2 linked regions of the Xenopus tropicalis genome follow. The protein of the gene in region 2 purifies or fractionates together with the protein of the main gene of each other region. This does not show direct contact. Links are inferred from orthologs where the notes say so. Each region holds a gene or a part of one and is shown on either strand. Other genes may lie near its edges.

What was found.
Region 1: the proteins of bcas2 (region 2) and prpf19 purify together in Homo sapiens (co-immunoprecipitation; 10 studies listed by BioGRID and IntAct, counting the BioPlex papers as one, with this or other methods). This does not show direct contact. The link is inferred for Xenopus tropicalis from reciprocal best matches to the Homo sapiens genes BCAS2 and PRPF19.

The regions. Positions count from the first base shown.
Region 1 is NC_030683.2:60,624,966-60,631,499, forward strand, and holds the start of prpf19 (pre-mRNA-processing factor 19), read right to left. Parts: upstream 4,261-6,534; 5' UTR 4,132-4,260; coding exon 4,113-4,131; intron 3,229-4,112; coding exon 3,079-3,228; intron 1,961-3,078; coding exon 1,884-1,960; intron 964-1,883; coding exon 822-963; intron 1-821. UniProt on the Homo sapiens protein: Ubiquitin-protein ligase which is a core component of several complexes mainly involved pre-mRNA splicing and DNA repair. Required for pre-mRNA splicing as component of the spliceosome.
Region 2 is NC_030682.2:7,011,502-7,017,766, reverse strand, and holds the end of bcas2 (pre-mRNA-splicing factor SPF27), read right to left. Parts: intron 4,251-6,265; coding exon 4,158-4,250; intron 3,698-4,157; coding exon 3,627-3,697; intron 3,494-3,626; coding exon 3,332-3,493; intron 3,209-3,331; coding exon 3,158-3,208; intron 2,893-3,157; coding exon 2,812-2,892; intron 2,300-2,811; coding exon 2,179-2,299; 3' UTR 1,890-2,178; downstream 1-1,889. Other genes in the region: ndufb10 (NADH dehydrogenase [ubiquinone] 1 beta subcomplex subunit 10), read left to right, coding at 744-841. UniProt on the Homo sapiens protein: Required for pre-mRNA splicing as component of the activated spliceosome. Component of the PRP19-CDC5L complex that forms an integral part of the spliceosome and is required for activating pre-mRNA splicing.

The DNA of each region.
Region 1 (6,534 bases), on a different chromosome or scaffold from region 2:
CGAAAATCATTATTGCTACGGGTATGGCCACCTTAAGGCTTAAACTCTGAACTGCCATACTCTAGTTGTAACCGTCCTTATGTAGTAAAACAAGTAATCTGGATATCTGAGTATCAGTATCAAAGCAGCAAGTCAGGATAATATATTCAGCACTTATTAATGCCTCCATGGGAACATGGAACTAAATATTTTTTTCTAAAGATACCTAACTTAAAAACCTAAAGATGAATATGATAAATGCCATATTTAATATACTGAACTGACTGCACTAGCTTAAAGTTTCAGCATTTCTATAGTAGGTCTACAGTTGTTACAGGAATGCCCCATCTTAGATTATGTTATAACTGTCCAGGACACTGCACATGCTCAGTGTGCTCTGGGCAGCTGTTGAGTAGCTAAGCTTAGGGGTCATCACAAATTATCAAGCAGAAAACAAGCTTGAGCTGTCATAGAAGCTGATGCTACAGGTTTGATTATTAAATTCTGATGCTAACTGCACTGGTTTTAGAGCTGCCATGTAAAGTGAATCTGAATAAATTACTAATCTACCATATACGGTGACATTTATATTCTATATATTCGGTATATTGTGAGTGGGTCCCTAAGCTCTGTAACTTAAAGCAGCACAGATCATGTGCAATGAATCAGTAGAAAAGAAGATGGGGAGCTACTGGGGGAATCTGCTAAAGGGTTGTGGTTACCTTGGGCTGGTACACAAGCCCAAACATAATGTACAACATTTCTAGCCTATTTCTTCAGTTAAGCTTTAGTTCTCCTTTAATAATCCTTTTATACTAGCACTCTCCTTCTGCACTTCATACCTTCACGGGCAGCTGTCACCTCCTTGGTAAGACGAGCAATGACACGACAAGCAGCATCATGCTGGTAAAGTGCATGAGAGAGCTCCTGTCGAGTGGTCTGTAGTTGTTGACGCAAAGTGAAACTGTGGAGCATCACTGCATCCTGAAATTAGAAAAAGCTATATTATTGACTGAGGTTACTCATAACTTACTCCATTTTTCCACAGCAAAAACAATCTGTAGGTCTGATTTCTTTATGTAAAAATGGATCCATATTGGGGGATTTATATAGCTTCCTTCCACATAATATCGAACTTATTCGCTGCACAATGATTAAAGCACATCTAAAGATAGATAATGTAGACACACATGGGGCTCAAGCCGAAAAAAAAAGTCTTATTTTTTTTCTTTAATCGAACCCTCTCACAATCTACTAACAAACTATGAACATGCACAAAGTGAAACTGGTTACATAATTAAACTGGGTAGAAAAAAAACCCCAAAGTCCATCAAGTTTAACCCCTCCAAATGAACGCCAGTGCATATATATTGCTACTGCTGCCACTATTAGAGAAAAAAAATGAATAAAAAACAAATACTACTGTACATAAGGTCAAAACCTTGCCATATTTAAGTATTATGTGGTTATGTTTAACATCATGATATCAAAATAATTTCAGTAATTTTCATATTCTCACTTATGATGCAATAATGTATCTGCAGGAAACAGTAAAGATATATCAAAACCTCTATTAGGTTTCCATAATTTTGCCTCTGCTGAGGCAAAGAACACATGTATAAAACAATATATACTGAGGCAAAGAACACATGTATAAAACAATAAAACAATATACCCAGCAGATTTACCCTTTACTAATTTAAACAAGTAAAAAACCTGATACATTAAACACTAACAATACACTTTACCACATGGCTAATGAATACAGTTACGCTTTGTAAATCTATTTATTAATAATCAGCTGTGCAATACATATGTTCTATTTTTTTTTTTTTTAATCTACACCAACACATTTTATAGACAGTAAGGAGAGAAAGCACAAAGTGAAGGATCCAGATACTAACCCACTCATCTTGCAATGATTTCAGGATTGCTGGAATACTGGTTGCAGAAGGTGGTTTAGGACGAATTGGATGGGCTACTGTAAGAAACAGGATAAAAGACCCTTCAATAAACTAATTGAAGAAAAAGTAAAAACATCGCTCCATTCTTTGCTGTGATTAAAGAAGAATTAAACTTAAAAAATGTTGTTCTATTATCTGTTTAGACCACTCATGTGTAATTTAGAGTATAAATGGATACACAGCACAATCTATTTATTCTTATGTAGATCTACTAATCAATTTTTTTTTGCGACAGGTCTAGGTATTATAAATATCTAAACTTGTTACCAGTTTACATTTTACATACAGTAGCTCAAAGACAGGTAAATAAAGACAAAATTTAAATAGTCTGTAATATGACCTATATGTAAGGCCCAACCACGATATAGAAGTTCCCCTTTTTAAGTCTTTTGACACAGTCAACCAAAATAACATTAAGAGTTTTGTAAAAGTATTTCATAGAACTGTGTACAAAAAGTGCAATACAAAAATATGTGGATCCATATATTATAGGCTAATTAAAAGCAAGAAATTGGCTTACTAATGCATAATTCAGTTATTTTTCTTCTAAAAATCTGTAAAATTATGTGTATTCACTTAGTGAAGTTTGGGAACATACACTAATTAAAATGTAAAATTTGGCTTTGGAAGCAATGTGCCATCTCTAGCTACAATTAGCATTACTGTGCGTTGTGCAAACGTAAAATAATACCTTTAAATGACCCAACAGAAATTATAGTTTTTTGGTTTTTTTTTGTGTTAGGTATGGCTAATTTTTTTTTTGGGGGGGGGGGGGGGTTACAGGTGAATGACAAGTAAATTCCCTATACAGGTATGGGACCTGTTATCCAGAATGTTTGGGACCTTGGATTTTCCGGATAAGGAATCTTTCCGTAATTTGGATCTCCATAACTAAAGTCCACTAAAAATAATTTAAATATTGAATAAACCCAATAGGATAGTTTTGGCTCCAATAAGGATTAAATATATCAAGTACAAGGCACTGTTTTATTAATACAGAGAAAAAGGAAAAAATTAGAATTATTTGCTTATAATGGAGTCTATGGGAAACTTTCTGGATAAGGGATCCCATACCTGTACCATTAAACTGAACACAAAGAAAAATAGCATTAGACGTTTTCACAGCTCTACTGACCTTTAATGTCAATCAACTGATCCTCACTTAAGGGCTGATTTGTTACTGGATCTGTCCCATTTTCAGCCAAATACTTTTCAATAAGGCGGCGATCAAAAATATGACCCGACACCGGGGAAATGCAGGGGCGATCTGTGACCTCATTACTGACTACAGGCAAATGAGAAAAATGTGAATTTTTATAAACATGTTTAGATTATAAATGGCATAATTGCTTATAAGTCTAAACATAGGTTTTAAATACACATGTACTGTCAAATACAATTATGTCCTAAAATTCAAGTGGTAGGAACAAAAGCATTAAGTATTTAGTACCTTTCATTAAAGTTGGAGTCTAACCATTTTATACATTAATGAATTAAATGTTTTGTATGCAAGCAAAGGTACACAAATTACAATCTCTTACATTATATTTCTAAATCATGGTCACAATACCATATTTCTAACAGAGCTATCCCCAGCTAATAACCCTGCTTGCATTTTCTGAATGCTTTAAATATGACTATACATCAATGTATATACAAACCCTGTCCGCGCTCCTGAATCAATGTCAATACAATTAATTTGGATACTCTGAGTATACTAATGTGAAAAAGCAAACTTGAGGGAAAAAAAAAATACCACTTATCTATATCAATTACTTTTAAGTGAACTATAATTAAATATATCTTTGAGCTGCCTTCCTCTACCTAATCCTTGTAGTGATTAAAATCTTAACCCCAAAGAGAGCGCCAACTTTTTGGGGCATACATCAATGTATACAAATCATACATCAAGATATTACAAAAAATATTAACTTAACACAATTAGCAAGCTCCAGATACAATACAACTTTTGTTGACATAAACACAAATTTAGGGAAAAATATTTTCTACTATTAAATAACTTGCATTGAATTTCTATATATAGGACCTGTATACCAAATATCGTATCAAATGACACGTTGCATCCACACAGCCGATGCTCAGCAACTTTATACAAGCATTTTATGAATCCGGTAGTGCTATTCTACTGCTGTTTTATGTTGCACTCACTATAACATGTCAAAGACATCTTCCAGGTATCTCTTTGAGCAATATGGTTAGGCGAGAAATAGCGTTGTTTTCTTTTTAGTGATGCTGTTCAGCTAGGACTCCCTGTTTTCAGACTTAAATTGGGCAGGCCCTTTGGCGGGCTATCTCCGTTCTACCGAGGTAAACTTGGAAACAGCGTGTAACCAGCGTCGGCAAAGTACTTCCGGTTTTCTTTGTTTCTACATCCGCTCTACAGCTAGACGTTTTACGTAAAGCAATGAAAGAAGAGATAGACTCGGCGTAGTGTAGCCGGATGTGTACAGCTGCAGTTCCTGGCAGCACTGAAGTATTTCACAGCGCTTTGTGATTATCATACGTGTCAGTCTCTTCTTTAGTTGTGTTTACTATCTAAGGGCTTCCCCACATATATGCATGTTTGGTGCTATTTATATTAATTTATTATCTTTATCAATTCTTAGGCTGCCTTTAGAGTCGGCAACCTGAGGGTAAACGGAATACATACAAGATTTGCATAGACAGACTACCTGATAAGTTATTTAGGCGAAAGCCTGCTGTTAGCAGTCTAAAACATCTATCTCAGAAATACCTCCCAACATTTGAAAAGTAGAAGGAGGGACAAATATTTCAGGACACGCCCACTTTATGGCCACGCCCCCCAACCAGGCCCATTTTACAAAACCACACCTGAAAAACATAACACACACAAAGTGCACCAGAAGATAGGCATGGTGGCCCCAATAATTTTATGACATTTATCACATATGTAGCCCTAAGAATTTCATTACGCACTGTAGCACCTGTATATCATGACATTGGTAGCCAGGTGTTACGTTTTGCATTGGTGGCAGGGCAGGGACACCCTAAAACATTGCTAGCCAGCCCAGGGCCCCCTTAAACATTGCTGGTCCTCCCCCATTGTCCCCATAGTATGGGTTGCTCCCCACTGCAGCATCCTCCAGCTCCCCCCAGCATCCTCCAGCTCCCTCCCAGCGTCCTCCCCTGCATCCTCCAGCTCCCCCTTAGCATCCTCCAGCTCCCTCCCAGCACCTTCCCCAGCATCCTCCAGCTCCCTCTCAGCATCTTCCCCAGCATCCTCCAGCTCCCCCTAGTATCCTCCAGGTCCCCCCAGCGTCCTCCCCAACATCCTCCAGCTCCCCCGCAATGTCCTCCCCAGCATCCCCCAGCTCCCACTTAGCATCCTCCAGCTTCCTCCCCAACATCCTTCAGCTCCCCCCAGTATCCTCTAGCTCCCCCCAGCATCCTCCCCAACATCCTTCAGCTCCCCCGCATCCCCCAGCTCCCCCTTAGCTTCCTCCAGCTTCCAGCTCCCTCCCAGCATCCTCCCCAACATCCTTCAGCTCCCCCCTAATATGCTCCAGCTCCCCCGCAACATCCTATTCAGCGTCCCCCAGCTCCCCCTTAGCTTCCTCCAGTTCCCCCCCAGTATCCTCCAGCTCACTCCCAGCGTCCTCCTCAACATCCTTCAACTCCCCCGCAACATCCTCCCTGCGGCTCCCCCTGCTCCCCCCCCCACCCGCCTGCTGCCTCTTGCTGCGTCCCCCGGCTCTTCTTCTCCCCATGATGTCACACTCGCGTCTATCGGGAGCACCGCAGCTTCTGCAATGCATTCACATAAATGTTAGAATGGAAATGAGCGAGAGACACGAGTGTGACGTCACAGGGAGAAGAGCAGAGAGAGGGGAAATTTAGAAAGCGGGGCAATTCAGACAACGCGGGACATTTCAAAATCAATCCAGGACTGCGGGACAGGGTGGAGAAATGCGGGACAGTTGGGAGGTATGCGAAAAGTAGTATAATTTGCAAAATTTTGCAGAGCACCACTCAGTAAATATACACTCATTCCTTTTTTGTGGTTAAGACCGTTTTTAAAGGGATTCTGTCATAATTTGTATGGTATAGTTTTTTTTACGTTGCAAATAATTAGTTGCAAATCATTACAAATAATTAGTTCTTCCATTTTAAATTGTATTCTTGAACCAATAAATGTATTTTTTTTGTTGTAATATTGATGTGTAGGGAGCCATCTCAGGTCATTGGGGGTCATTTATGAACAGTGGGAAAATTTGCCCACAGGCAGTAACCTATGGCAACCAAATTGTTACATTCATAGTTCTACCTGCAGCTGGCTGAAAAAAGGTAATTACTGATTGGTTTCTATGGGTTACTGCCCATGGGCAAATTTGCCCACTGTTAATAAATGTGCCCCATTGTGTCTGCCTTTGAGCTTTCAGAAAGAGCCAGCACTTAACAATGGAACTTCTTTCAGATAAGCTATTGGTTCTCCTAATTAATGATCTCCAGCAGTGGACTAATACAGCTACCCATAAGGATGGTCATTTCCTAGATCTGATGGTTTCCAAAAATCTAGATCTATCTGCATTTAACAGTGAGCCTTTTCCTC
Region 2 (6,265 bases):
CGGGCATCGGATAGTCTGACCCCCCCCCCACACACACTGGCACCCCCCACTGAGTAACTGACAAATGAATTGGCTAAAGTGCCTGCCTGTGCCGGGCATCGGATAGTCTGACCCCCCCCCCCACACACACTGGCACCCCCACTGAGTAACTGACAAATGAATTGGCTAAAGTGCCTGCCTGTGCTGGGCATCGGATAGTCTGACCCCCCCACACACACTGGCACCCCCACTGAGTAACTGACAAATGAATTGGCTAAAGTGCCTGCCTGTGCTGGGCATCGGATAGTCTGACCCCCCCACACACACACACTGGCACCCCCACTGAGTAGCTGACAAAGGAAATGGCTAAAGCGCCTGCCTGTGCCGGGCATCGAATATTCTGTCCCCCTCCCCCCTCCTTACACACCGGCACCCCCACTGAGTAACTGACGAATTGGCTAAAGTGCCTGCCTGTGCCGGGCATCGGATAGTCTGACCCCCCCCCCCCCCCACACACACTGGCACCCCCCACTGAGTAGCTGACAAATGAATTGGCTAAAGTGCCTGCCTGTGCCAGGCAGCAGATACTCTGACCCCCCACCTTTCACACTGGCACCCCCACTGAGTCGCTGACAAATCACATGTCTAATACTCCTGCCTGTGCCGGGCATCTGATAGTCTGACCCCCCCAAGGCACATTTTGCTGGCAGCTTGGGCGAAAGCAACTAAACTTACTGACCATTAAACTCCTTCTGTGTCGGCAGATGGCGACCTCGGCGCTTACGGCAACGCTCGCAAATGTCTGATGAAGCAGAAACACCGGATGATTGCGGAAAGGAAAGCGGCGGCTCAGGCCCAGTGAGCCCCAAACCCTGCGGCACTTGTACATGTTCCTGCCATACTGTCTGTATAATAAACTCTCTATTAGAACTTCATTTCCACTTGTGCTGCCAGTCGTTTAACCTCCCTTGCTGCTCTGTACAGGTTGCCCGGCTGCCCTTCCCTTAGTAACCAGCCTCGCCATTATGGGCACTTAAGGACTAAACCCTAAAAATGAACATGGCTAGAAATGCTATATTTTATATACTGAACTTACTGCCCCAGCCTACAGGTTCAGCCTCCCTCTAGCATCAGTGATTCAGGTCTTTACAGCCGTCAGAGGAGTGTCTGCGACTCACACATGCTCAGTGGGCTCTGGGCAGCTGTATTACTTACTAATCAGTGTTATATTGCAACATTAATATTCTATACATACAGTATATTGTGTCAGCAGCACAGAGTATGTGCAGTGAATTGGCAGAAGAGAAGATGGGGGCTACTGGGGCATCTTTACTGGCACAGATCTTCCCTGCTGAAGGGCTGTGTGGCTGGTACAGAAGCCCAAAACATAATGTACAGCATTTCTGCCCTACTTCTTTAGTTTCCATGCTATTTGCAGTATTCACACCAAGTCAGAGCCAGACAGATAGGGGAAAAGTTTCATTTGCTGATGCTGGAAGTGTCTCTGGGCTCAGTGCTGCTTGTGTCTCCGCCTGCACAGAACAGCAGGGGGCGCTCCTGTTACACCTTCATGATATTAACATTGTAAAAACAGATGAGACCCAGGAGGAAGGGCAATGCCAGGCTTTCCCACTGTATCTCTATGGCCTATAGAAGACAGTTCATTGGTTTTTACGCTGATTTCCTCTCACTGTTACACACATGACCCGTTATCTGTCGAAGCTGCCCATGTGGGAAATCCGTCCCAGCTCAGAACATACCTATTTCCCTCTGGTGAGATCAGGCACTTGTGCAGAGACGGGGGTGCTATCTAATATATAATGGTGTGCCCCCACCCAGGCCAGGGTTACGGTTGTGTGGGGTGCTCAGTACAGACCCCCAGGAGCGCACAGGATGATAAAAGTGGAAGATTTCTGGAAAACACTTTATTATTAATATTACAGTGAAAAACAAGTCAGAATTTCCTTATAAAAGCCGGTATGTGCCCGGCCTACGAGGCAGCACTGGGGCATTTGGGTGAAACAGGGAGACCCATCCCTGCGCCTATCAGCACCCAGGCAGAGACTACTCGCTACATTTCCAGAGTGAAGAGCCATAAAGCAACCAGAACCCCCAGCAGCGCTGCCCAACATGGCGCCAGAGTCTCTGCAGCAGGACCGGTGCTGTTACCCTGGAACCTGTAATCCTTGGGGCAGGGCCTTAATAATCTTCAATATTTTCCTTATTCTCCCCGCTCCTCTCTTTCAGCTGATAGACTTCATTCTCCATTTGCACAATTGCTCTCTCAATCTCGTAGTTTTTGCTCACAAGAGACACCCACCTGCAACCGGCACAGAAAGCAAGTTAGAGACAGACGAAAATGACTACCAGTTCTATTAAAGCTAAAATATTAGCATCCCATAAATACCATACACTGTACTAAGCACAATTCAGCAGGAACAGCCCCCTAAGTTTGCTCATAGCCTGTACAGAGAGATACCATAAAACTATGGCACATAGGGATTCCCCTGTACTAAGCACAATTCAGCAGGAACAGCCCCCTAAGTTTGCTAATAGCCTGTACAGAGAGATACCATAAAACTATGGCACATAGGGATTCCCCTGTACTAAGCACAATTCAGCAGGAACAGCCCCCTAAGTTTGCTCATAGCCTGTACAGAGAGATACCATAAAACTATGGCAGCATAGGGATTCCCCTGTTCAGCAGGAACAGCCCGCTAGGCACACTCAAAGCCTGTGTGTACTTCATTCATGGAAATACAGTATAGGGGAGTAGGTATTCCCTTGATAAGTTCACCCTAGGTGTGAACAAAATGCACAAATCTCACTTACGTTGACTCCATCTCTCTGAGTCGGGCACCTGCTGTCAGCTGGGAGTTCTTTCTCTGCCAGTTCAAGTCCTGAATCTTTTTCCTGTTCCGGTAACAAGACAAATAGTGAAAGCGTTAGAGCTGTTAAAATGGAAGTGTGCAACTGCTAGTAATACCCCAGGGCTAGGAACTACCCCACGTAGGTAACTCGAAGCTCATCCCAGTAATTACACAGGAACTGAGCTCTAAATCTCTGCACTTCCTGCTTCTGGGCTGCTCTCTTCCCCACGGCCAGGGAAGGATTATATATATATATATATATATATATATATATATATATGGTTAGTATGGGCTTAATGCCGTCTCACCGTAACTTCTGGAGATCTTTCTGCGCGCAGTCGATCATATGCAGCAGGTTCCTGGGAGGAGACAGAAGAATCACGTGACTGAAGGGCGGCAGTATCATTGGGTCATGCTATATCCTGTGCTGTAAATCAACACCCCCCCCCCCCCCCCCCCCCAACGCCATGTTCCCAACTCACTCGTTATAGACTTTCCAGGCGTTACAGCCGTGCTGGGACATGAGCTCCAGGTTCTCTATACGGACGGCCTGGTGTTCCAATTGGGCCATGGAGTTATTGACACATTCCTGCCACGCGGTGATGTCGTTCCTCTGGCCGGATAGGGGGGCCGGTAACTCATACCTAGAATCAGAGAGAGGGGTATGGTATTTCCACGGATACCCTTCAGCACAATGAGACCACATGGAAACCACAGGGCTGTAAAGCAATGCACAGATCTTGGTCCAGTAACCCATAGTAACCAGACGGCACTCACCTCTTCATGCTGAGCAGTTCGAGGGGCTGGCGCGACGAAAGTCTTTCAAACTCGTTCCTCATGATTTCAGTCTAAATAAAATGAATGAAAGTTGGAATCTTGGTCTCCTCTGTGAAGGGAACATGCCCCCCACCCACGTGATATTAGCACCAGTAGGTGCCAGGGTGGGCTCTGTGCATGCAAACCCCTCGGGGTTATGGGACTATGAAAGCAATCTTTGGAGAACTGACAGACATAAGGACGAGTAGTAGCAGAATGAATAATGAAGTATTAATATTTTGCAGAGATATCAAGTTGCTAGGGTCAAATTTACCCTAGCAACCAGACAGTGGTGTGAATGAGTATAGGGGAGGGGCTGGATAAAAAGTAACAGTAACAATAAAATTGAAGCCTCACAGAGCAATAGGTTCTTAGTTGCCAGGGTGAGTTCTCTAGCAGGGAAGCCATTTGGTTGGCCAATGTGCAACCACCGTGAATAGAGCAGAGGGGCACCCAGTGTAGGGTGCTGCAGAATAGGGAGAAAGCCATTACCTCAAATGCGGAATAGTCGGGGGTGGGCAAGTAACTCAGGTAGTTCTTTGTAGGCCGATATCTTCTGGTCTCCTCTTCCACCAAAGCTGCAGCCTGAGAGCAACACAGACCGGTTATTTACAGTAGAAATGCCCCCAATGGGAGTCATGTGACACACAGGGGCAGCACAGACCGGGTATTTACAGTAGAAATGCCCCCAATGGGAGTCATGTGACACACAGGGGCAACACAGACCGGGTATTTACAGTAGAAATGCCCCCAATGGGAGTCATGTGACACACAGGGGCAGCACTGACCGGGTATTTACAGTAGAAATGCCCCCAATGGGAGTCATGTGACACACAGGGGCAGCACTGACCGGTTATTTACAGTAGAAATGCCCCCAATGGGAGTCATGTGACACACAGGGGCAGCACAGACCGGGTATTTACAGTAGAAATGCCCCCAATGGGAGTCATGTGACACACAGGGGCAGCACTGACCGGGTATTTACAGTAGAAATGCCCCCAATGGGAGTCATGTGACACACAGGGGCCGCACTGACCGGTTATTTACAGTAGAAATGCCCCCAATGGGAGTCATGTGACACACAGGGGCAACACAGACCGGTTATTTACAGTAGAAATGCCCCCAATGGGAGTCATGTGACACACAGGGGCAGCATTGACCGGGTATTTACAGTAGAAATGCCCCCAATGGGAGTCATGTGACACACAGGGGCAGCACTGACCGGGTATTTACAGTAGAAATGCCCCCAATGGGAGTCATGTGACACACAGGGGCAGCACAGACCGGTTATTTACAGTAGAAATGCCCCCAATGGGAGTCATGTGACACACAGGGGCAGCACAGACCGGGTATTTACAGTAGAAATGCCCCCAATGGGAGTCATGTGACACACAGGGGCAACACAGACCGGGTATTTACAGTAGAAATGCCCCCAATGGGAGTCATGTGACACACAGGGGCAGCACAGACCGGTTATTTACAGTAGAAATGCCCCCAATGGGAGTCATGTGACACACAGGGGCAGCACAGACCGGGTATTTACAGTAGAAATGCCCCCAATGGGAGTCATGTGACACACAGGGGCAGCACTGACCGGTTATTTACAGTAGAAATGCCCCCAATGGATGTCATGTGACACACAGGGGCCGCACAGACCGGGTATTTACAGTAGAAATGCCCCCAATGGGAGTCATGTGACACACAGGGGCAGCACAGACCGGGTATTTACAGTAGAAATGCCCCCAATGGGAGTCATGTGACACACAGGGGCAGCACAGACCGGGTATTTACAGTAGAAATGCCCCCAATGGGAGTCATGTGACACACAGGGGCAGCACAGACCGGTTATTTACAGTAGAAATGCCCCCAATGGGAGTCATGTGACACACAGGGGCAGCACTGACCGGGTATTTACAGTAGAAATGCCCCCAATGGGAGTCATGTGACACACAGGGGCAGCACAGACCGGGTATTTACAGTAGAAATGCCCCCAATGGGAGTCATGTGACACACAGGGGCAGCACAGACCGGGTATTTACAGTAGAAATGCCCCCAATGGGAGTCATGTGACACACAGGGGCAGCACAGACCGGGTATTTACAGTAGAAATGCCCCCAATGGGAGTCATGTGACACACAGGGGCAGCACAGACCGGGTATTTACAGTAGAAATGCCCCCAATGGGAGTCATGTGACACACAGGGGCCGCACAGACCGGGTATTTACAGTAGAAATGCCCCCAATGGGAGTCATGTGACACACAGGGGCAGCACAGACCGGGTATTTACAGTAGAAATGCCCCCAATGGGAGTCATGTGACACACAGGGGCAACACAGACCGGGTATTTACAGTAGAAATGCCCCCAATGGGAGTCATGTGACACACAGGGGCAGCACAGACCGGTTATTTACAGTAGAAATGCCCCCAATGGGAGTCATGTGACACACAGGGGCCGCACAGACCGGTTATTTACAGTAGAAATGCCCCCAATGGGAGTCATGTGACACACAGGGGCAGCACAGACCGGGTATTTACAGTAGAAATGCCCCCAATGGGAGTCATGTGACACACAGGGGCAGCACAGACCGGGTATTTACAGT